Schizosaccharomyces pombe: one gene and its partners. Changing the gene in region 1 together with any one later gene gives a genetic interaction. Each region holds a gene or a part of one and is shown in the gene's direction. Other genes may lie near its edges.

The links. Genes that interact genetically often act in the same process or in processes that back each other up.
Region 2: mutations in blt1 (region 1) and mid1 impair growth when combined (synthetic growth defect), as found in Schizosaccharomyces pombe (2 studies listed by BioGRID, with this or other methods).
Region 3: mutations in blt1 (region 1) and bgs1 impair growth when combined (synthetic growth defect), as found in Schizosaccharomyces pombe (one study listed by BioGRID).

What each region holds. Positions count from the first base shown.
Region 1 is NC_003423.3:1,982,466-1,990,532, forward strand, and holds blt1 (ubiquitin domain-like protein Blt1), read left to right. Parts: upstream 1-2,000; 5' UTR 2,001-2,050; coding exon 2,051-2,097; exon of another isoform or gene 2,098-2,150; coding exon 2,151-4,206; 3' UTR 4,207-4,578; coding exon of another isoform or gene 4,579-4,635; 3' UTR 4,636-4,636; coding exon of another isoform or gene 4,637-4,652; 3' UTR 4,653-4,653; coding exon of another isoform or gene 4,654-5,210; 3' UTR 5,211-5,271; coding exon of another isoform or gene 5,272-5,550; 3' UTR 5,551-5,615; coding exon of another isoform or gene 5,616-5,888; 3' UTR 5,889-6,087; downstream 6,088-8,067. Other genes in the region: SPOM_SPBC1A4.04 (uncharacterized protein), read left to right, coding at 808-1,557; U3 snoRNP-associated protein Sof1, read right to left, coding at 6,521-7,569, 7,626-7,887.
Region 2 is NC_003421.2:1,146,106-1,153,073, reverse strand, and holds mid1 (anillin-related medial ring protein Mid1), read left to right. Parts: upstream 1-2,638; 5' UTR 2,639-2,858; coding exon 2,859-5,621; 3' UTR 5,622-5,758; downstream 5,759-6,968. Other genes in the region: SPOM_SPCC4B3.13 (MatE family transporter), read left to right, coding at 1-831; protein Cwf20, read left to right, coding at 1,360-2,232; TIP41 type 2a phosphatase regulator Tip41, read left to right, coding at 5,933-6,691. UniProt on the Schizosaccharomyces pombe protein: Scaffold protein that anchors the contractile ring (CR) at the cell equator during cytokinesis.
Region 3 is NC_003423.3:2,350,655-2,359,905, reverse strand, and holds bgs1 (primary septum and spore wall linear 1,3-beta-glucan synthase catalytic subunit Bgs1), read left to right. Parts: upstream 1-2,541; 5' UTR 2,542-3,662; coding exon 3,663-8,852; 3' UTR 8,853-8,984; downstream 8,985-9,251. Other genes in the region: DNA-binding transcription factor, MADS-box Mbx1, read right to left, coding at 1-61, 213-359, 427-477; SPOM_SPBC19G7.04 (protein-DNA covalent cross-linking repair protein), read right to left, coding at 9,140-9,251. UniProt on the Schizosaccharomyces pombe protein: Alternate catalytic subunit of the 1,3-beta-glucan synthase (GS) complex. Synthesizes 1,3-beta-glucan, a major structural component of the fungal cell wall. Required for the assembly of the division septum and maintenance of cell polarity.

The sequences.
Region 1 (8,067 bases):
TATTCCGCTCGATCAGAGCAGATCAAAAGGTTGATTCTTCAGTGTCCCACATTATAAGGCTATTTCTCGCTTACCAAGGAACACATCAGACCTCCTGAACTTATCCTCCACCAACGTCCTCTTCATTTTAAAATTCATTTTATTGAAAAAAAATCATATTTCTAGCTATCTTGCACCTCTATTTGGCCTTTGCTTATCCCCGGATCCACGTTGGATATTTGCTCGCCTATCGAATAGTATATTAAAAAAAGTTCGCTTGAGAAAAAAATTATTTGTCAAAGTCGAAAGTGGAAAGACGTTTTTAAAAGAAGTATTTTGTGGCAAAGAAGTCAATATCTAAGAAGAAAAAAAGTTTCGGTTGATCTGTAACTAAAATCAGCGTCAAAATAGCATCACCAATACGTCCGAGTGAGAAGCATCAAGGTTCCTCAAAATCAAGAAAAACTTTACCAATATTACTTCTATTGTTTTATCTAGCATTAAAAATAATTTCATTTAAATACAATCCTAGAGCGGGATTGTTGAAAAGAAACCCAACCTAATCTTAGTTTATTTGAATTTGCTCAGCTAATTTTGAATGTGACTATATTGAACACTCAAATTGGCTAATTCTTCGTTTAACAAACATCGAAAACTATTTATTTCTTCCCATCTTTTTGTTTATTAAAAAAAAAAGAAAGGAGAACAATAACAGAATTCAATTCATAGTTGTCGGCGGATATTGTTTTTCTATCCTTTTCTAATCCTTTTGTGTGTACTATTTGTTTTATGTTATAATTTATTAAAAAATCAGAAAGTGTTTTCGATATGGAGTCTTGTACAAGGTCTTCACTACAGCAGCTTGTCGCAGCTGACTCAAAATCTTCTAACTTTTGTTTCCGGAATTTATCCCAATCATCGAATAATAATGTATCATATGCGTCTTCAAGCAATCGCAATTTTGTTCCCCAAAATGTTCTCAATAATGAGTACCAATCTTTCCAGCATTCTTCAACATCTCAACCTTCCGTACTTCGACAAGGAAAAAATGCTTTTTTAAAGCCAAGCCAACTGTCTTTCAATATGAATTCGTCCGAAATTTCTAATACGCATTGGGCACGCGATTTTAATATTCTAACTTCTAACTTTGCTTCGTCCTCCGTTACTTCTGCTCCTACTCAATCCTCACATATTTCAAACTTTACTAATTCTCAAAAATATTTTGCAAACGATCTTCCCAACTCTCTAACTGACCAACCCTTAGCTCAGCCATCGGCATCTCAACGTTCTACATGGCTACCTTGTTCTGCAGCCGTTAGCACTTCAAGTCCTTCATCTGATCCCTTCTTTGATTCTTATCTTGAACAAGCTTTCGAAAAGGCTGAACGACTTGCAAACGAACAACAAAAGATTTCCAAAGTTGAGAAAACCTTTGGCACTTTGGATTCCATAGGTACTGAACAGGATGATTGCTTTGATCCTGATTACAGCAATCTCCCCCTTTTTCCTCAGGAAAATGCATCTCCCCCTTTGTTTCGAAAAGCATCTTGCAACAGTGGTTTTACCACAAAATGTTGATTAGGAGTTTCACACTAGCTTACTAATTTCCCTCCTAAAGATTGCTTCAACTGAAGTGTAGCATTGCTTCAGTCGTATTTCAATATTTGATTTTTTTATGCCTTATTTTTTTGTTTTAAAATTCTTTTCGCTAAAATTTGCTTCGAGAATCTATCAATACAAGTTCTCTCTTGCCGCACTATAAATCTCAAATTTAGCTTTCAAAATCATCTATTTATTGCAGTGTATACATTCATAATACCCTCATACCTAGCAATTTCAAAAATCCGTAACTATAGCTTAGCGATGCAAAAGCACTTCCACACCTCTTTTTGTAAAGAATAAAATTAATTTGAATTTTTAACACTTAATTTAATAATAATAAAATGTTTTGTACAACTTGGATTGCTACATATGGGAAAATTCAATCGTCCCTTCTTTCCAGTAATCAACAACCACTTAATAACTGCCAACTCCTAAAGGTCGAGCGCTTGAGGTGTCTAAGAGGCAGAGCATGAGCAAATCTGCTTTCACAAGCAAAAGTCAGCTTAAAGGAATAGAGTATGTTTACAAACTTTACGTCTTTTGTCTAGTGTACTAACGGTAATTAATAGTGGAAGTTTTAATGACCCATTTCGGCAACCGTCTATGAATTTGCCTACTCCCCCTCATGATGATGGTCTTCCATCAATACCTAGGTCTACAGCCTTGCCTAATTTGTCTAACCGATTATCTCCATATTCGCATCGTAATTACCTACCAATTCCTGAAGCGGATTCTCGTAATTTAGAGGTGCTTAATTCAATTTCGCTCACAACAGGATCAGTCGTGAATCAAATAAATAAACTTTACCAGAGGAGTTGTGATAATGCTAATTACTTACAAGACTTACGCTCTTTAATACTTCAAACTCCCACGGCTGAAGCAAATGCCACCCAAGTTACCGAATCTCTAAACCAAATCCAAAAAATTTTACAAGAGGCTTCTTCTAAAGATAGAGAACAAATTGTTCAAGTTATTAAAGAACTCAATAAAGGTAACAGTTTGGAGGTTCGTAGAGAACTTGGAAATTGTTTGGCCCATCTTAAGAAAGGAACTTTAAATATAGACAACGCATTACAAGCCTCTCTACAAAAATACTGGAAAGAATTGCAGTACTTTAATGTGTCAAAGGATAAGTTGCTATCTTTAGAGGAAAGTATAAAATTGTTAAGTGCAAGATTAGAGGAAACTGATACACCCTCCTCCACTCATTGGATAGAGATAAATGCTGGATTTAAAGAAGTTGGTGACGAATTGAGCGAGAATTTTCAAAGAAAGCAAGAAATTTTGAGTGGATTACAAAATAATGTGATTCTTCGTACTAATAATAGGAAGCCTGTAGGCAGTGATGGCTCTAATTCTAATTTTAATGGTGGAGAAGAACAGATGGACTCCAAAGATCAAGAGGAAATACAAGATTATTTGAATTCTCTTTTGTCAGTTCATGAGAAAGATGGTGTACTTCTCCAGAAATTTCATAATTCTTATGTTCAATATCAGAAACTCGCTGTTGCATTGTCGAAATATGAGAATTTCGATGCTGATAAGCTGTTTCAACAGATGAATTTAGCCAAGCAAAGCAATGAGACTCTTTTACAAACTTTGACCGAACAAACCGATCAACTGCTTTCGTTCAAGGAAACCATGGACTCATTTAAATTTATTTTAGGTCCCTCTATGGAGAACCAGGCTTTACAGCAGGGAATTCTAGCAGAGCAGCAAGATTTGGTAGCCCAGTTACGCGATATTGTGCTTCGCTCAGAGACGCTAGCTGAAAATCCCTCTAATATGCCCGGTAGTTGCCTTCCTGGAGCCTCCTCAAATACTGCTGACGAGTTTACTGAACAGCTGAATCTACTTAAGAACGAAGTAGCACGCCTCTCTGCAATCTGTCCAAGCCCTAATTCTGGAATTAATGCTTCTGTGCTTACTAATGCTGACAATTTAGAGAAAGAGAACCTCCTGTTAGTGAACAACAATGCCTTCAAAGTAGATGATCGTTCAGTGTCATCAGTTGCATTAGACGATCATAATCGGCAGTTACAAATGAACGTAGAGGAGTTAGAAGGAAAGAAGGCGGATTTAACCAGCAAAATTAATCGATTGGATAAGGACTTTGTTAAGCTAAATACAACCTACTCGTTACTCACCGATCAAGTCAAAACTAAGCAATTGGCACTCCAAGAGATTGAAAGTCGAGTTATTCGTCTGGAAGAAAGACTAAATATGTTACAGAAGCTGTCCATGCAGCCAGCTATTTCTTCGAGCAGCGAATTTGTTCCCATTGAATCCCATCCCTCATCTTCAGCTGTTGTACCGATAGAAGAACCAAAAAATAGTATTATAGAAAAGAAGCGTGTTCCACATAACGCTGCAAGAAATTCTGTTAATTTGGAGGTCACTCTTCCTAATTCTAAAAAGAGGTTTTCTTCGTTTTCTGGATCTTCCAGTAAACTACCAGTCCGTCCATCAACTGCGTTAACAGACAAAAGGAAACCATCTTGGTCAAGAAGGCTAGCTGCTGCAATCGGGTTTTCTTCAGGATCTCCAGAAAAGAAGCATGTCATAACTTCATCGGACGCGGGACATCAGCGATCTAAATCAAGAAGCTTCAGTTCTAAAATGTAATTATACGCTCTTTTATAGGTCAATCGTTTTTGTAAGATTATACCAATGCTATTATTTAATCAATGACTTTCGTTTCTGTACTATACCTCTTTCATATGTATACTACGTTGAAATAAGCACTTAATGTAAACAACTATTGAAAGCAGCTCATCACATGAAGTCCAAAAATTACTACAACCCTTTATCCCTTTAAGAGCTTTACGATCGAAAATCCGATTTGCCAATGGAGATACAAATCAGCGTTCAAATATGAGAAAGTCTAACTATACAGATAAGCTTCAACAATCCTTGTAATACTAATGTTAAGATATCTTCAGAAAATTAACCGGTAGTTAACAAATAGATGCTATGTATATTGCATTCATTAGTAAGCTAGCGACCCCATTTGCTCAGAAGCCCTTTCTTTAGCTTCGCATAGACATATACCAACGGAACGAATGACACCTGGCAGTGAAAATTCCCTTTATACTTTGTGTAAGAATACTAAAGCTTGTTAATTTTTTTATTGATTTGCTAATTAGTAGACTCCTTGTCGAAATTTGGTTCGTTAACATCAGTTCAGCGCACTTTTCAAACGATGAAGTGTCAGGTTTTAAGCCTAAAATTTTCACCAAGTTTAATGGGAGTCCATTCAAAAGACGTGATATGGAATCCTTCGTGATGTTCTGATGGAAAGAGAGGTATCGCGAATTATCACTCGGATCCATAGATTTTAAAACTTCTGATGATTCAATGAAATGAACTCCAGGTTCTGCATACAATAGTGGCAAATATAGCTTACGAAAGAAAGCTATTTGCTTAGAAACAATATTTTCAACTTTTCGAGGATTTTCGGCGAAAAAGGACATTCGAATATCGCCAAGGTAGGATAAACTTACAATCGTTTTGTAAAGATCGAACTCTGTGAATCGGTCTGCTAACATTAACAGGCCAACGTGTAAGGCACTACTTAAATTATAAGAGTTTTCTTTGTAAAATTCATCTTCCCCTTTAAGTATGACAACCTATTTGTTCAAATTCGGTTAATATCCACAATTGTAGCAGAAGTCTGTTTATTTAACTTACGGGTTTTTGAAAGCGCCCCGCTAGATACATAGTATTCCAATTTTTAAGATCTTCATAAACATCTTTTTTGCTAGTAACACCATATTTGATTATATTTCCCTCTACTTCCACATGTGTATTGTAGTATACACCGGTGCCAAAAGATTCTTGAAGTGTTGACACGAAACCAGGTCCAAAATTTTTAACAAATGAATAATGAGAAGGGTTTTGCTGCAAATTTATTTTGTGCCACTTGACTGGGTCTTCTACCTGAAATATAAAATCAATCATGGGATTCTCCTAGCAGAGACATAAGTTAGAAGTTTTAGATTAAACGAGTATAACGATTAATAATTACTATTTACCTTTTGAGAATATCCAGCTTGCCTAAAGACCCCGCTGCCATAACCTACGGCGACATCAATGGGAGCTTGAAAGTAATTAACAACCTTTGTGAGATTTTCTTTCAATTCTTCTTCAGGTTGAATTCTTTGGTTTTCAAACGTAAGTAAATTTTGCTTCAATAATTGTGCCACTGTACATTTCGCATGATGACTATAACTATGACGGTTCATCCATCGTTTTGTTGAATATCGAAGGATATTATAAGAAAGAAAGTGGGTTTTACCAAAGATCATATATATGATAAAATACGAGTTAGCAATTGCTTTTTTAGTTGTGATACTATACAGTGTTTAATTATACTGAATTTTGGTCACGATGAGGTACTATATGACAGAAGACGAAAACGCCCAGTCTACTCACTCATTGGACTCTACACATTTCATCAATAATATTTAATTGAATTATTTATTTAGCTGTTTTTTTATACCATGATAAATTAATTATTCAAAATGTGAAATTAAAACCAGAGTATATAAACTTAGAACTGACTTACATATGTTCTTACTACTTCTAAAAGAAACGACATTAAAAGAATGAATCGAAACATAAAAATTTAGGTCAATGTTCCATCTTTTTTTTTTCGTAGTTTATATTAGAAGATTCAAAGATCCAAATCTGCGTACATTTTTACAGCAACCAGTTTCAATGTTCAAAAAAGAAATTGTAGATCATCAACTGATGCATATTTATTCAAAGAAACCGACTTGTTCTGCTTTTTCTTAGTAAAATTGGTTGCTTGTTATGTTGCATTGTATACTATACACGAGAATAAATTCCACCATAATCAAAAAATTGAACTGAGAAAAAAATTTGAAAACCCAAACCATAGAAACCTTTTATAACACCATTAAATAGAAACTTAGAATTATTTTTGAATACCAACAACATGCCTTTCACGTTCTTTTTCATAGGGCACGGCACCTTTTTTACTATGACGGCGAATGTTCTCTTCACGTCTCTTTAGAGAATTAATCTCTTCACGTTTTATTTCGGCAGCCTTTTTGACATTAGTTGGAAGATGACGATGACGGGCAATACGGCGAATTTCAGGAATATGCTTATAGCGCTCTCGCAATGAGTCAAGATATTTGAGGCGATTCTCCTCACGAGTAGAGCGAATTGACGCACGGGAAGAAGCACGAGCTCTCCAAAGACGAACATTACTATCATCGGAACCAGAGAATATGTATTGTGCATCCATTGAAAATTTAACTGCAGTAACTCGCTGCATACGTTTTGTATGATAAACATCACGACTATGACCCTCCCGAACATTGTAAATTCGAATCGTTTTGTCATAAGAACCACTAACAAACTCTTGACCTGTCGGTGAAAAATCTACTGACATAACGGCAGAAACGTGATCCTTATAAACGTGTAATGCCCGCTTTAAATTTCGCATATCGTACATATACAAATTGTGATCCTCACTGCCAGCTACAAAATTAAATGCCTCCATTGGATTCCAAGAAATTGAATTAGTTCTCAATTTGGTAATCAATTTGGTTAACGGTGATGATGTACGGAGATCGTAAATTACGATTGATCGATCCATACCAGCTGAAGCCAAAACCGATGTTTCCGTATAGTTAAATTTGACTACCGGTAATGTATCAGCTCCCCATTCAAACTTTGTTACTGGAGTATCACGAGAATAGTCCCAAATAGATACATTTTCACCGCTAGTTGCAAATAAATCACCTCCTTTGCTAGTGTCAATATCCAAAAGAGAAGAGTCTCCCAAATACGATCTTTTAACTTTGCCATCTTGTTTATTAAGCATGTAAACATAGCGATCAGAAGCGCAAGATAAAACGTCTCCTTGATTAGAGAATACTAATCCCCTAACAATGCCTTCATGTGCCTTTGAAGTCCAGCGCTCACAACGTTCACTAGCATCCCATAGTTTTACAGCTAGAAAATGTGTTAGTGACATCCAAACTTTTTATATCCACTTATTTATCACATACCACCATCACCACTTCCACTGGCACAATCTATCAAAGTTTTTGTATCACGAGCTAATGAATAAACACCATCTTGATGTCCTCTACCCAATTGACCAAGAAAAGGGGCTGCGAACATCCTGTCCATCTTTGTAGCATTCAATGCACGTGTATACTCACGCGCACGTTCAAAAGGATGGAGCGATGGATCTAAATTCCTTTTAACAGGATCTTGATCATTAAGACGTGTCAACGAAGTACCACGGGTGATTGTTTTGACCTTCATCCTTTTTGGTTCGTTGCAAGTTTCAATTTCTAGTAGTAAGCTCTACACCTTGCAAAAATATTGGATAATGAGGTGTAGCGTAAACCATCGTATTTGAATAAACAAAAGGGCAAATACTTCAGCAATCCCTAAGATTTAGCTTTTTAAAACTCATTTCAATTATTTAAAAATTCTACTAAA
Region 2 (6,968 bases), on another chromosome or scaffold:
AATTACCTTTTTGTGTGGAGTCCCTGGGTTGGTTTCGGTTTTCTAGGTGCACCGGTCGCTGTAGCATTAACGCTATGGAGTGCTTGTGCTGTTCTAATTATCTATATTATGAAGGTAAACGGACGACAAGCATGGGGAGGTTTTAGTAGAGAAGCATTAAAAAATTGGGGCCCGTTATGTCGATTGGCTGTTCCTGGTGTAATTATGATTTGCAGTGAGTACTGGGCTTTTGAACTCGTTACTTTCGCATCGGGCGTGTTGGGTACCACTGAATTAGCCTCTATGTCTGTTTTGTCTACTACCTCGACCCTTTCTTATAATTTGGCTTTCGGTGTCGCTGCTGCAGCTGCCACAAGAGTAGGAAATTTAATTGGTGCTGGAAATACGAAACTCGCTAAGCTAGCTACGCACGTTTCTATCAATTTAGGTGCTGCAATTGGTGTTATCATTGCTGTAATCCTTTTTTTAACTCGCAACACATGGACTTACATTTTTACGTCTGATAAAGATGTCGTCGCATTGGTTGCAACTATCATTCCCCTTGTTGCACTCATTAATATTGCCGATAATACACAATGTGTAGCTGGAGGCCTTCTTCGGGGACAAGGAAGACAAAGGATTGGTGGGGTAGTAAATTTCATCGCATATTATTTATTGGGTTTGCCTGTTGCCATAATCCTTTGCTTCAAGCTAGATTGGGGGCTGTACGGTTTATGGATTGGAATTGGAGCTGCAATTCTAATTATTGCTGGAGTAGAAACTTGGTGCTCATTGCATGTCAATTGGGACCATTTAGTTGAACTTGCTAATCGTCAGTTTGATGAGGCTTAAAAGTTGATACGGACAAGTTAATGATTATTTAAATATGTATTGTGGTTTGTCATAAATTGATATATTTGAAGAGATATGTTCGGTTTATGATACCATGGTTACGACTACTAACAGTTGATTGATAAAAGTATTCGAGTCGGTACTTTTTCCAGTCTTCAAGATTTGGCCATGTTTTGGCCTATCCTAAAAATTAAGTTTACGAAAATTGCAGTGCTTTAAACTCTCATATTTATGAAGCTTATAAAAGTAAATTAAATTAATGGTAATTTGGAATCTTTTTGGGTGATTAATATATAAAATACCACATATGCTAGCTAGCAACGTTGGGCGGTAGCATTCAATTAAATATTATTTCTTTTTAAGACTTACTTAAAGAATTAATTTAAGTTTGAATAAATATGTAAATCATCTTGCAGATGCGAGTATATTAATTGCCATAAATAATTCTGTTCGCAGTGAGAATAGTTACCGAGTACAAATCGCTCGCTCAGAATTATTAAACGACTTAATATCAAAAGTTAATAAAATATGTCTCTGGTTTCATATCCTCGATCAGAATCCGAAAGCGATATTGAAGAAGAAACACCATTAGCTTCTAAAAGTTTCGATCCTACTTTGTTTCAGCATGCGCGCAGAAAATTGTCGGTTGACAGCACTAAAAAGTCACCTAAACGCCTGAAACGGCAAGTTGATTTACAGAAATCTTCTTTTAATGATAAAACTTTTAATGAATCTGATGTTATCTCTAATGAACGATTTAAATCTAATGATTTACTTGAACTTTTGCCTGCCCCAAAAAATCAAGCTGAATTAGCTCCAAAGTCATCTAAAAGATCGGACCTTGATTTAAATGAAAACTATTTATTACCTAATAACTCTGTAAGCGATTTAACCTCTACTGGATCCTCCGAAACTGTCAAGAAATCAACGTATTCAGAAAAGTCTGGTAACGTTTCGTTATTTAATATCGTAGGATCAGAGTCAAAGCAAGCCTCTTTAGTAGATTCCGATCAGAAACCTTACCAACCAATTTTGATAAAACCTAAAGCTAGAGCAAATCCTCCGAAATTGAGGAATCAACCCGAGAACGATTTCATTTCTATTGCTAATCACTCAGTACATTCAAATGCAGAGGACATAAACATTATCAATGAAGATTACATTGAAATTGGACGCCACCGAAAAGAGAAGGGACGAATTATAGACGTTGATATCAACAAACTTCCAAAACCGACCCAAGAAGCATTGCCAAGCGCCCCTACTATTAAAAGTGTTGCACCTGGTCGTCATCAACTGTCTTCTCTTGTTGAAATGGCTATCAGTCAAAAAGACAACTTTGAAGCTTATTTTGAGCAGCAACGATCAAACAAAAAGGCATCTTCTCAAAAGTATGGGTTTTAGCTTTAAGTAAATGTTACGCCCCGATAGTTAGTTTTAGGTTTTAACTGCTCGTGTATTTGTAAATTAAAAGCTGTTTATCAACAGATTCATTTTATGTATTTTTTTTTAGTTTCTGCGAAAATAGCAGACAACAAAATATGATTTTACTTATTTTATTTTACATACTAATGACTTTATTCATCGCTATTCATAAGCATACTGATAATACAATATTATCTTTGCAAGTATGTCCCAGCTATAATTCATATTTGCAATGCAACTAGCCTTTTTTTGTTAATTTTAAAAAGGAAACTTGGCTTTAATCTTCGATTTATGGTATATCCAGAGTTTGAATTGTTTAACCATATAATCAGTGTTCTCACTGGGACTACCACTTATCATAGCGTCTACCGATTTTGTGTGACCTATGCCTACTCCACATGACTGAGGTGAAGAAGGATTTCAATAAATTATAAGAGGTTTTCGTGCTTTTAGCATCAATTTTAATAGAATTTGAATTAATATTTGCTATAAAGAAGAAGGCTCGTCTTTTGTTGTACTTCAGGGTGCTTATATGATACTGTGTCCACATTTTAACACTCGATAAGGTATTATAGTCTGTAAAGTCTAATTAAGCTATCCTGACGATGAAAGAGCAAGAGTTCTCATATAGAGAAGCAAAAGATGTGTCTCTTGACTCTAAAGGCTTAGAAAACAGTTTTCTTTCTTCTCCAAATCGAGAAAAAACACCCCTTTTTTTTGAGGGTAACAGTAATGAAACCTCGGGATATGATCAAACAAAAAACTTTACACATGGAGATGGCGATATGTCCCTTGGAAACCTTTCGGAACTAAACGTTGCGACAGATCTTTTAGAGTCACTTGATTTAAGAAGCATGTATATGCATGGCTATGGGCACCTCGATTCATCTTTTTCTTCTCAACATAGTCCTGATAATCGTAAAAGAATGAGTAGTACATCAGTGTTTAAGAGGATTAATTCCGAGGAAGAAGGTCGCATTCCTAGTTTGACGTACTCGGCAGGAACTATGAACTCGACAAGTTCTTCTACTGCGTCTTTGAAAGGTGCTGATATTGTTGCAGATTATGAAACATTTAATCCGGATCAAAATTTAGCTGAATTATCCTTTGACCGCTCCAAATCGTCTCGCAAGAGGGCGGTAGAAGTAGCAGAATTTAGTCGAGCTAAGACAATGTCTCCGTTGGAATACACTGTTCAACATCCATATCAATCCCATAATGAACTGTCTACAAACCCAGCCCGAGCAAGAGCTGGAAGCGTTCCCAACTTGGCTCGCATACCATCTGATGTCAAGCCCGTACCTCCAGCACATCTATCTGCATCTTCTACTGTAGGTCCAAGGATTCTTCCTAGTCTTCCCAAAGATACCACAGAGGACAATCCAGCGTTGGAAAGGGTCGAAACGACGGCGTCTCTCGATATGGATTATAAACCTTTAGAACCTTTAGCTCCCATTCAGGAAGCCCCTGTTGAAGATACTTCAGAGCCTTTTTCTTCAGTCCCAGAGGCCACCTTAGACGACTCAGATATCTCTACAGAAAGTCTTCGTAAAAAGGTTTTGGCCAAGATGGAAGCAAAACGGATTTCCAGTGGATCTTCCTATGCTAGTACACTTAGGAAAGTTTATGATTTCTCTGAGCTTTCCCTTCCCACCAACGGTAAAGACTATGATGAGTTATACCTTCAATCTTCCCGTAATTCAGAACCTGAGATTTCTACTATTATCAATGATTCTTTACAACAGGAAAATATGGATGAGGATATTAGTGCCACTTCAATTCCGAAATCTCAGGCCGCCTATGGTCATGGATCTGTAACGTATCATGAAGTCCCCAGATACAATCTAACTTCTGCTTCCGTGGGATATAGTATATCTAGTCAACGTGGTCGTATAAAAAGCAGTTCTACCATTGACAATTTGAGTGCTATTTTAAGCTCTGAAGATTTACGTCACCCATCAATGCAACCCGTACCAGGAACGAAGCGTACTTATAGTAATTATTGTGAAAATGAGCCAAACAAGTCTAGCCAAAGTTTAGTCAGTTCTGAGTCCCATAACGTCGAAGGATGGAATTATTCGGAAACTGGTACAGTAGGTTTTTACGACCCTAGTGCCGAGATATCCGCCAGCATTGATGAACTTAGGCAGTCTACGCCTGTAGCCAGAGATAGCGAACTTTTAAGTCGTGCACATTCCTTTGATTTGAATCGCCTTGATCTTCCAAGTCAGGATAAGAGTACGTCTTACGAAGTCCCGAATGGTACTGAAAATCAATCACCACGTCCTGTTACTTCTCTTGGATTTGTGAATGAAACATTTTTTGAAGAGAAACCAAAGGCGCCCTTGCCACTTGGTCGCTTTTATATACATTTGAACAGCATTTTGAATATTTCGATAAGTGAAGTCCATTCACCTATCAAGATAATAGTTAATACGCCTACGCAAAATATGCAGCTTCCTTGGCAAGCTGTTAATGGGAATAATAGGTTGGACCATGATTTTGCTTTTCATGTTGACGATAACTTTAAAGTGAGTTTTATGTTTCTTGACATCCCTATTGAGGACAAGTCCAACGGTTCGAAAGGAGTATCTGCTACAAAAGACGTTTCAAACGGTAAGCCTGCTGAAACGAAATCCAAAGCTAGGAAATTTTTTGACAAGCTTTTCAACCGACGCAAAAAGAGAAAACTCAACAAGGCTGCTGCAGTTGAGAATTCAAAGGCTAAGAAGTCAGTGGTTATCAAGAAAGTCTCGGGTACTGCTACGTTAAATTTGGGTAATGTCAAAGACAGTTGTTTTGGAAAGGCTTTCAACGTAGAAATACCCATCATTTCCAGAGGCTTCTTGGAAGCGATTCCTGTAAAAATAAACTCTATAGGGAAACGTACACTTGGTAATCTAACTTTGACTTGTTTGTATATTCCTGAGCTTTCGGTTCCAGAGCAGGAATTGCCATTTACCTTAGAACAAGCTACGATGGACTTGCGACACGTTAGAAGTAACTATCTATATAATGAGGGATACTTGTATAGATTGGAAGATTCATCTATTCGAAGACGTTTTGTCGTTTTACGCTCAAAGCAGCTGAATTTTTATGCTGAAAAAGGTGGGCAATATTTGGATACTTTTCAGCTTTCTAAGACAGTAGTTTCAATCCCAATGGTAAATTTTTCAGAGGCAGTTTCAAACCTCGGTCTAGTAGCTGGAATATTGGCTACATCTGTTGATAGAAGGCATGTTCAGTTGTTTGCGGACTCTAAAAAGGTTTGCCAAAAATGGCTTCAGGTGATGAATTCACGCTCGTTTGCTCTAGATAGGGGTACTGAGAAATTATGGTTACAAGAATACGTGAATTTTATGGCTTAATATCTGAATTTATGAATACTAATCGTCTTAATGTATTTTTTGAATAATTTTTACTTATCGGATTTACTAAATGAGGGAGTTGAACTGAAATTATATAACTACTGAATTAATACTTATAGATCATTTTTCATTTTTAATCTGAATAATTAATCAACTTTTGGTTTTTTGAATATACTCTATAATGAGTAAAGTAATATAAAGGTGTTTTGTGTTGGCTAAATTTACATTACCTATATTTTGCCGTACGCACTCTAAATTGTTACAATAATATAGGGGTCAAGCAACTACTCAAATCACATTATTTAAAGGAGATGCAAAAACAAGATGATTTTTCATTTAAATATTGGACTATCAAAGTCCAACGGGGGTCAATTTTAAAAAGCCATGAGATGGAGAACCTTCAAAGTACATTGGGTTTTCCACCTCCTGAGATGACCTTTGGGAATAATTACATCTCAATTGAATACAAGAATCAGCCTGTAGTTGGATTTTTTACTGAAGATGCTCTTAAAATGGTTGGTACCAAACCTGAAGATGTAATGCAAGTTTCTTTTGCAAAAGACTGGGCCAAATCCAGAATTAAGCCCGGAGAAGAATACCCTGTGATTTACCCATTTGATTGGACTTATTATACTGATTATCAGGGAACTATACAACGTCCAAATGCAAAATTCATTGAAATTGATCAGGTAATACCTGTTCAAAAAATACTTAACGCAGGACAAAATTTATGGTTCAATGAGATAATTCTTTTCGAAGATGAGTTAGCAGATAATGGAAAATCAATGTTTGATGTGAGAGCTCGAGTTGTTCAGGGTCATTTAATATTGTTAGCACGCCTTGTCGTACGTTTAGACAAGGTAAATGTTCGATTGAATGAGACGAGGATATATATTGATTTGTTGAATGATTTTCTCTTGAAGGACTGCCGTAAAAAGCAAGCTACTTACGACAAAATTATTAAACAAATACCTGTGGGGGGAGACAAAGCTGCATTGCTAGATGATAACAATTGGTTAAGTGAGCGCCTTGATACCGTTGACCATAAAATCTATAAATTGAATTTTTGATGCTAAAATGATTCGCTAATGGCAGACATGAGAATTTAGAACTTTTGTCAACGAATGAGTGTTGAAGCAATTTACAAGTTTATTACGTTTAGTTCATGGTAATATTTATAATCATTTTCAACTAAGAGGTTATTAATTTAGGTTTTCTAATTGAGAAAGCAAAATAAATAGATACAATCTTTGGTACGATTAAACGGCGAAGATATACTACTGAAACTGCAAACAAATTTAAAATGGTCCAGTAAATTTTAGAGTATACTTAATTAGGAAGAATGAT
Region 3 (9,251 bases), 370 kb from region 1:
CCTTGTTCAGGAATTTTTGCAGCAAGGCATCTCTTTGCTCTTCCGGTTCCTCAGAAGAATACTAAAGAGGTGTATGTTAATATTAAAAACTTGTAAAAACATTGCCACGTTTTCTGGTTGTTGACCTTCATCACCTTCCCTATAATGTATTCACTTTACATTGAAAGGATATGACAGAAAAGGATCAGAAAAACGGGAAATATGAAACATACAACGTGACAAGCATTTTTAGAATCAAAAATCATGACCACCACTTTAGCATCACACAAAACGGAGAGTTCATGTGCTTTTTTTATCAAGCCAAGTCGTCGACGATTAAAAGTAAGAGCCTTATTTTTTGCATCGGAAATACGCTGTATCTAAATGGTACGTTAGCGAGGAGAAAAGGGGTGTATGAATGGAACCAAACCACTATGTAGCACATACAGAACGGCGAGGAGATGAAGGAGCAGTACTAGGAGGAGGATTAATATCCATAGTTAGAGTCCAAATATTTAGGTAATAATATAAATAAGAAGTAGAAAAAGAGCGACAATTAAGAACCAAAATAGTAAAAAAACAACAAAAAAAGGATTAAAAATTAAACCAATTGACTAAATCAACCGAGGAAATTCAGTGAAGTCTAGAAATAAAAATTAGGAGAAAAGGGAGAAGGAAAAAAGGGCGCAAAGAAAGTGAGAGTTTCGACTATTCTTATATTCTTGTTTCGTGATTATTGACAGTGTAATAAAAATCAAAATTAAGGGAAGGCAAAGACGCATGCAAGGAAGTGCAAAACTTAAAGGTTGAAATACAAAATATGATTATCCGCTAGATTCACTTGAATGTATCAGCTTGACTTGAAATGCAGCAAAACAGTAATGGGTACCAAAATGGGATATAATCTAAAGGGATAAGAATACAAGGAAAATGTCGTTAACGTTTTGGGTAGACGAATGAAAAAACCTTTTAATGTAGAAAAAAGAGATAACTTTGGAAGAATTTTAAAAAAGCAGGCAAATATTAGGATATCATTCAATCGGCTCCTATGACTTGAAGTCTAACCCAATACTAAATGTGCAAAAAAAAATAAGGAAGCCGATCACCAAAATAAATGGAAACCAAATAAAAAAAAGCCAAGGATGAAATTCAAAATATTCAATTTGAGACTTTCAAAATGTAAACAAAGCGACAATAACGGCAATGTAAAGTTTGCGGAGACAAAAAATTTCACCTTTGAATATAAATAGAAACACTGAATAGGCAGTACGGAAAAAAATTTTTCTTAAATCAACCCCAGACTTGAACCAAAATATAAAAAATGTGAAATTTGGATGAAAAAGAAGCGTATACAGCGTATCAGGAACGTATAGTTTGTAGGAAAAAACGCTGGATTTATCCTTTTCAAAATCTCGTGGTAAATGTACTGAGCCTTTCTATAAAGCCCACCCAAGCCCTGTAAGGTACCGGACGAAAAAAGTCTCGCTACAGGGGGTTAAGATGATAAGAAAGGCTAGGGTGCTAGATTATTTATCTAATAAGGTAGTGTAAAGAAGTAAAACAAACTAGAGAAGTAGAAAATATAGGAATTAATGAAATGGAGAAAATGAAAAGAGCAGAAGGTGCGACAATAGAAATAGTTGTAGTCAAATGATTGTAAGAAGTTGTTTAAGTGTGACAACTAAATAGTCATCAAAGATTTAAAAGAATATCGCTGTAATAGTCGATTGATAGATAAAAATATTTACAGGATGTGTTTGTTTTTGGGGTATTCGTAAGGGAAATTGCCCAATCCAAGTCTTAACCAGAATATGGAATGGAAACCTTTTCCAATGCCGGCACATTGTTTCTTCCTTTGGATTAACCAATTGCTTTTAAATTCGTACTCGGTTGTCTTTTCATCTTCTTTAGATCCTAACCAGATTTGTTAGCATTCAAATCCGTACTTTTCCCACGCATTCAATACCCAGACATTGTGCGTCTATGATTTTCCCAATTTTCGGGATTTGCGAAAAAAGCCCAATGCCTAGTTCTCTTCATAAGCTCTATACTGTAATAATCATACCTTTGCTAATTGGGATTCGGTACCTTCTAGCTTTGTATTATTTTTACTATTGTTTACCACCCATGTAGACAATCACATATTAGAAATTAGTTTAACAATTCCAAAAAAAAAGAACACTCGTCGCTTATGTTCACTGTAACTGAATTATGGTTTCAGCTACACTTTCTTGACTTTTTGTAGTTTGTTTACTTCTTTTCCAATTCAAATATAGCGTCCTTAGTTTGGTTAAAAGTATCCATCTAAAACGGTAGCTGGGTATAACGATTGATAAGATGCTACACAGTAGCTGCTTATAAATTCTTTCTTTGTTTGACCGGCTATGGCTTTGCTTTGTATGGGGATGGTTTTTTAAGCCTCCTTGTGCCTCGTTGGTGAGTAACCTGAGCCTCCTACCACGCCAGCCTCTAAATTGCTTACACTAAAATAGGCCTCAATAATGTGCACTACCCTTCCCCATTTCGCTGTTAGTTTTGAAAGAACCGGAATGAGTACAACTTGCAGACAACAAACTAGGAACTGGTGGGTTTTGGCTATTTTCACCGTTCTCTTAGTGGAATTACTCTAAAATTTTTGAAAATATATTGATTAATTAGAGTAAATTATCCTTTTTAACGTCAAATTTTTGATTCTGTTGCACGGAATTAATTTTTTCTTCCTTCTTATATATCTATCATTGGTTCCTTCTTTTCTTTTTCCTCTCTTTTTTCCTATTAGCCTCCATACAAAAAGGTTGACTCCATCTTAACATTTGCCAAGTTTTCTTGTGTGATATTATCTTTACGTTAGTTGCTCCATCACTGCTAAGTTTTCGGTGTGTGCAAGATCACCTTTTGTCGTAGCATTGTGTTTGTGTGGACGTTTGGCGTTTGTCCCGGGTTCCTCTTACCCTTTCGCTTCTCTTTTCCTTCCATTTTCCCATCTCCATTTACTTTTTTTTCGCTTTGAGAGATTGTAAATAAGCTTCTGCATACGACAATTTAATTGTTCAATCTAAAGTTTATGTGGAAAGCGATTTTATATTTTCTCCTTTTCTTTTAAAAAAACGTCCTTCCTTGAATCGCTTTTTTAAAAATTTGGTCAGTTTCCTAGGTGTGCATTTGTAAGTACTTCTTTTGGTGCTTGCTGTTTTATGGTATTATTATTGTTGTTTTTATAATTATTTCTTCTTTTTTTTCGCCTCTTTTTTTATAATTTGCATACTGTATTTTTAGGTTCCGTTCATTCCCTTTTGAACCTCCGATATCTTAACTACTCTTTCACTTCGTGATCCCACCCTTTTTCCTACTTTTAGAGCTTTTTCCGCCGTCTTCTCTCATCCGGCATACATATATCACCCTTTTTTCTTCTTTTTAGGATTTGAAAAAGTCTTTTACTTTTTTCATTTCAATCAGCACAAATTTTTTTCTCTTCTACTCTTTTGCCCCCATTTTCCAAGGCTTAACTTCTTTCTTTTTAATCTTTTTTTCAAGGTCTCTTAAATTTATTTCTTTCTTTTGAACATCGTTCCTCATTTGCTAGCATTCTTTCTCACAAATTCCAACTTTTCTTTCTTTCAATTCTTCTTAATTTAAGCATTAAAATTTGTCCTCTCTCCTTCTTTTGAGTCTATTTATTCATCATGGATCAGTATTGGCGTGAACAAGAGGGTCGTGGACTCTTTGAAGATGATGCCAATAGTTATGTCTCTGACGATGATACTATGAGCTCTCTGACCCGTATGATTTACGATAAAAACTCTTCTCGTGATGCATTACATTCTGATTATGATAGCTCTTCATTTAATGTCGATTCCAGTTCAGTTGCTTATCCGGCTTGGAATCAAGCTGGTGAAGAGGCTCCTGTTACTATGGAAGGTGTTCAAGAGATCTTGTTGGACCTTACAAATAAACTTGGTTTTCAAAAAGATAACATGCGTAACATTTTTGATTATGTTATGGTTCTTTTAGATTCTCGGGCATCTCGTATGTCTCCTTCCTCGGCACTGCTTACTATCCATGCCGATGTCATTGGTGGTGAACATGCAAATTTTTCAAAGTGGTACTTTGCTTCTCATTTTAATGACGGTCATGCCATTGGATTTCACGATATGTCTTCCCCAATTGTCGAAACAATGACTTTGAAAGAAGCTGAACAGGCATGGAGAGATCAAATGGCAGCATTTTCACCCCATCGCATGATGGTGCAGGTGTGCCTTTATTTTCTTTGCTGGGGTGAAGCTAACAATGTTCGTTTTGTTCCCGAGTGTCTTTGTTTTATATTTGAATGTGCTTATGATTATTATATCTCTTCGGAAGCTAAAGATGTCGATGCTGCTTTGCCCAAGGAATTTTATTTAGACTCGGTTATCACCCCTATTTATCGATTTATTCATGCACAGCTGTTTGAAATTTTGGACGGCAAATACGTCAGACGAGAAAGAGATCATTCTCAAATCATTGGCTATGATGATATTAATCAATTGTTTTGGTCCTACAAGGGCCTTCAGGAAATCATGTGTGCTGATAAAACTCCGTTGTTAGATTTACCACCGTTTATGCGATATCGACATCTTTCCGATGTTGAATGGAAATCATGTTTTTATAAGTCCTATTACGAGTATCGTTCTTGGTTCCATAACGTTACCAATTTCTCACGTATTTGGGTAATGCATATATCTGCTTACTGGTATTATTCGGCTTATAATTCCCCAAATTTGTACACCAAAAATTATCACATCCGCTTGAATAATAAACCTCCTGCTTCTTGTCGTTGGACAGCTTGTGGTTTAGCTGGTGCTATAGCTTCTTTTATCACCTTGGCAGCTGTGGTTTTCGAATATATACATGTTCCTCGTCGTTATCATTCTGCCAGAAGGTTGTGGCCGAGTATGCTGTTATTGATAAGTACGCTACTTCTAAACATCGCACCTGTTGTTTTCATATTTGCTTCGTCTACGAAAGAGCAGCATTATGCTTCTCGATTGGTTGTAGGAATTGTGCATTTCTTTTTCTCGTTGGTCTGTGTAGTTTACTATTCGATTACGCCGTTACGAAATTTGGTTGGTTTCACCACAAAAAGGTCTGGAAAAAACCTTGCTAACAGATTTTTCACCGCCAATTTCACTCCGACCTCAAAAACAGGTGCTTTCGTTTCTTGGTGTCTTTGGATTACAGTTTTGGTGGCCAAATTCTTGGAATCTTATTTCTTTTTAACTTTGAATTTGGCAGATTCTATCAGATTTTTGGGTGCTATGCGACCTTATGACTGCCGTGATTACATTTTAGGAGCTGGACTATGCAAGGCTCAGCCTAAAATTCTCTTGAGTTTACTGTATTTAACTGATCTTTCTCTGTTTTTCCTTGATACTTATCTATGGTACATTCTTATCAGCACTATCTATTCTTTGGCTTATGCTTTTTGCCTGGGTATCAGTGTGTGGACTCCTTGGAGAGAATTGTTTTACCGCGTTCCCAGAAGAATATATACAAAACTGTTGTATACCGATGACATGGAGATTGTCTTCAAGCCAAAAGTACTTATTTCTCAAGTTTGGAATGCCATTATTATCTCGATGTACAGGGAGCATTTGATTTCCCGTACCCAAATTCAGGAGTTGTTGTACCATCAAGTACCTTCTGAAAAGGCAGGCTATCATACTCTTAGAGCTCCCAACTTTTTCTACTCCCAACAGGTTAAGCATTATAAGCAAGATTTGTTTCCGGCTAATTCAGAAGCTGCTCGAAGAATCTCCTTTTTCGCACAATCCTTGGCTGAATCAATACCCAAGACTAGTTCCATTGATGCCATGCCTACCTTCACTGTTTTGGTTCCTCACTATTCTGAGAAAATTTTGTTATCTTTAAGAGAGATTATTCGCGAGGAAGATCAACTTTCTCGCGTAACTCTATTAGAGTACTTGAAGCAGCTATATCCTGTGGAGTGGAGAAATTTTGTTGATGATACAAAATTACTTGCTGATGAAAATGATTCTGTTATTGGCAGTATCGACAATGAAAAAAATGGAGTAAATAAAGCATATGACCTTCCTTTCTATTGTGTTGGATTTAAATCTGCGACTCCGGAGTATACTTTGAGAACAAGAATTTGGGCCTCTCTGAGAACTCAAACTTTGTATCGCACTATCAACGGTTTCAGTAACTATAGTCGTGCCATCAAACTGTTATACAGAACGGAAACACCAGAATTGGTCGAATGGACAAATGGTGACCCTGTGCGATTAGATGAAGAATTGGATTTAATGGCAAACAGGAAGTTCCGATTCTGTGTCTCCATGCAGCGGTATGCTAAGTTTACCAAAGAAGAAGCCGAAAATGCAGAATTTTTATTAAGAGCGTATCCAGACTTGCAAATTGCATATATGGATGAAGATCCTCAATCTCGACATAATGACGAGCGCCATCTTTATTCTGTACTGATTGACGGTCATTGCCCCATTATGGAAAATGGAAAGCGTCGACCCAAATATCGTATTCGTCTATCTGGTAACCCAATTTTGGGTGACGGTAAATCTGATAATCAAAATATGTCTATTCCTTACATTAGAGGTGAATATGTACAAATGATCGATGCCAACCAGGATAATTATTTGGAAGAATGTCTAAAGATTCGTAGCATTCTTGCTGAATTTGAGCAACTTACTCCTCCCTTACATAGCCCTTACTCGGTAAATGCCAAAGCTGCTGACAATCATCCCGTAGCTATTCTCGGTGCTAGAGAATACATTTTTTCAGAAAATACAGGTATGCTTGGAGATGTAGCTGCTGGAAAGGAACAAACATTTGGTACTCTTTTCGCTCGTATTTTATCGTTGATTGGTGGAAAATTGCATTACGGACATCCTGATTTTATTAATGTTTTGTTTATGATTACTCGTGGCGGCGTTTCAAAAGCACAAAAAGGTCTGCATGTTAATGAAGATATTTATGCAGGTATGATTGCTCTTCAACGTGGAGGACGTATTAAGCATTGTGATTACTATCAATGTGGTAAGGGTCGTGACTTGGGTTTTGGCTCAATTCTTAACTTTACTACGAAAATTGGAACGGGTATGGCGGAACAAATGCTTTCAAGAGAATATTTCAACCTTGGCACACAATTACCGTTTGATAGGTTTTTGTCATTTTTCTATGCCCACGCTGGATTTCACGTCAATAACATGGTCATCATGTTTTCTTTACAGTTATTGATGCTTGTTATTATTAATTTGGGAGCAATGTACACTGTTGTTCCGGTTTGTAGATACCGCCAATTTGACTCCTTGACAGCTTCTTTGTACCCTGAAGGTTGTTATCAATTAAAACCAGTTCTCGAGTGGTTGAAGCGTTGTATTTTGTCTATTTTCATTGTCTTTGGTATTGCTTTTGTTCCACTTGCTGTTTGTGAATTAGGGGAACGCGGTGCCATCCGAATGGTTATTCGTTTAGCGAAACAAATATTCTCTCTATCTCCTATTTTTGAAATTTTCACATGCCAAATATATGCGCAGAGTTTAATTGCAAATCTTACGTTTGGTGGTGCACGCTATATTGGTACTAGCAGAGGTTTTGCTACTGTTCGTGTGCCGTTCTCACTATTGTATTCTCGATTCTCTGGACCATCACTTTATTTTGGGTCACGACTTATGTACATGTTATTGTTTGGTTCAATTACTGCTTGGTTGCCGCATTATATTTACTTTTGGATTACGCTGACTGCTCTTTGCATTAGTCCATTCCTTTACAATCCCCATCAATTCGCCTGGACCGATTTCTTTGTTGATTATCGTGAGTTTATGCGCTGGCTATTCCGCGAAAATTCACGCAATCAAGCAAATTCATGGATTGGCAACTGTCAACTTTGCCGTACCAGAGTAACTGGGTATAAACGTAAAATATATGGTAAGAAGGCAGATAAAATTGCTATGGATTCCCCGCGTGCGAGAATTACTACAATGTTTTATGGTGAAATATTAGGGCCTCTAGGAACACTATTTTTCACGTGTATTCCATTTCTCTTTATCAATTCCCAACCTGGTAACGATGATGAGACCCAATCTACTAATGCTTTTATTCGCTTGATTATTATGTCAGTTGCTCCTTTGGTTTTAAGTGCAATTATTGCTTTTTTCTTTTTCTGTTTAGGAATCATGTTACGTCCTATTCTCGGCGATAGATCTAAAACGTATGGTGTATATTTGGCTGGAGTGGCCCATTTCCTTTTTGTGTGTGTTGATGTTGTTGTCTTTGAAGTATTGGGCTATTTGGAAGGTTGGTCATTTTCAAAAACTTTACTTGGATTTGTAGCAATCATTTCAATTCACAGGTTTGCTCATAAATTTTTTATCATATGTTTCCTGTCTCGAGAATTTCGTCATGATGGTGCCAATTTAGCTTGGTGGTCTGGACGTTGGAATGGCCAAGGTTTTGGATATATGGTTTTAACGCAACCATGGAGAGAATTTGTGTGTAAAACTACAGAGTTGAATATGTTTGCTGGTGATTTCCTTTTAAGTCATCTTTTGTTGTTTTTGCAAGCGCCTGTTATTTTGATTCCTTATATCGACAAACTTCACTCGATCATATTATTCTGGCTTGTGCCCAGCAGACAAATTCGACCCCCAATTTATACCATAAGACAAAACAAACTTCGTCGTCAAATAGTTCTTCGCTATGCCACTTTGTACTTTTCATTGTTTATTGCCTTTTTTGTTCTTTTAATTTTGCCTTTTGTGTTTGGTAAATCAGCTGCTGGAACTTCAATGGATAAATTTAATCTGATTCAGCCAGCGACAAAGATTGTTTATTCTTCAACAAAGAATTCTTCTGTCTAAAGCATTTTATTTTTTTTTAAAGGATTTGTGTGATGTGGATGCTTATTTCTCATTAGAAATGCTCTCAATTAGGGTAAATAATAATTATTATATTTGCATTTTGTTAAATAAAAAATGACTTGAGTGTTGATTAAGTATCTAGTACTTGAGAATATATTATCTAAATAAGTAATGAAGAACGATTGATGGTTAGAGCAAACACAAACTTAATGTCTGTTACATGAGAAAAAATTATTGGTGCACCGTCTGCCCGTAATGTGATATTGATTATGTTATTACGTTCACATTTACAAATCGCTTGAAGAGATAAGGCTAACGGATTTTGAAACGTTTTGTTTAGCATCTTTAGTACGGTGGTACTCATCTGAAAGTTTCTTCATAAGTTCCTTGTGAGTGATG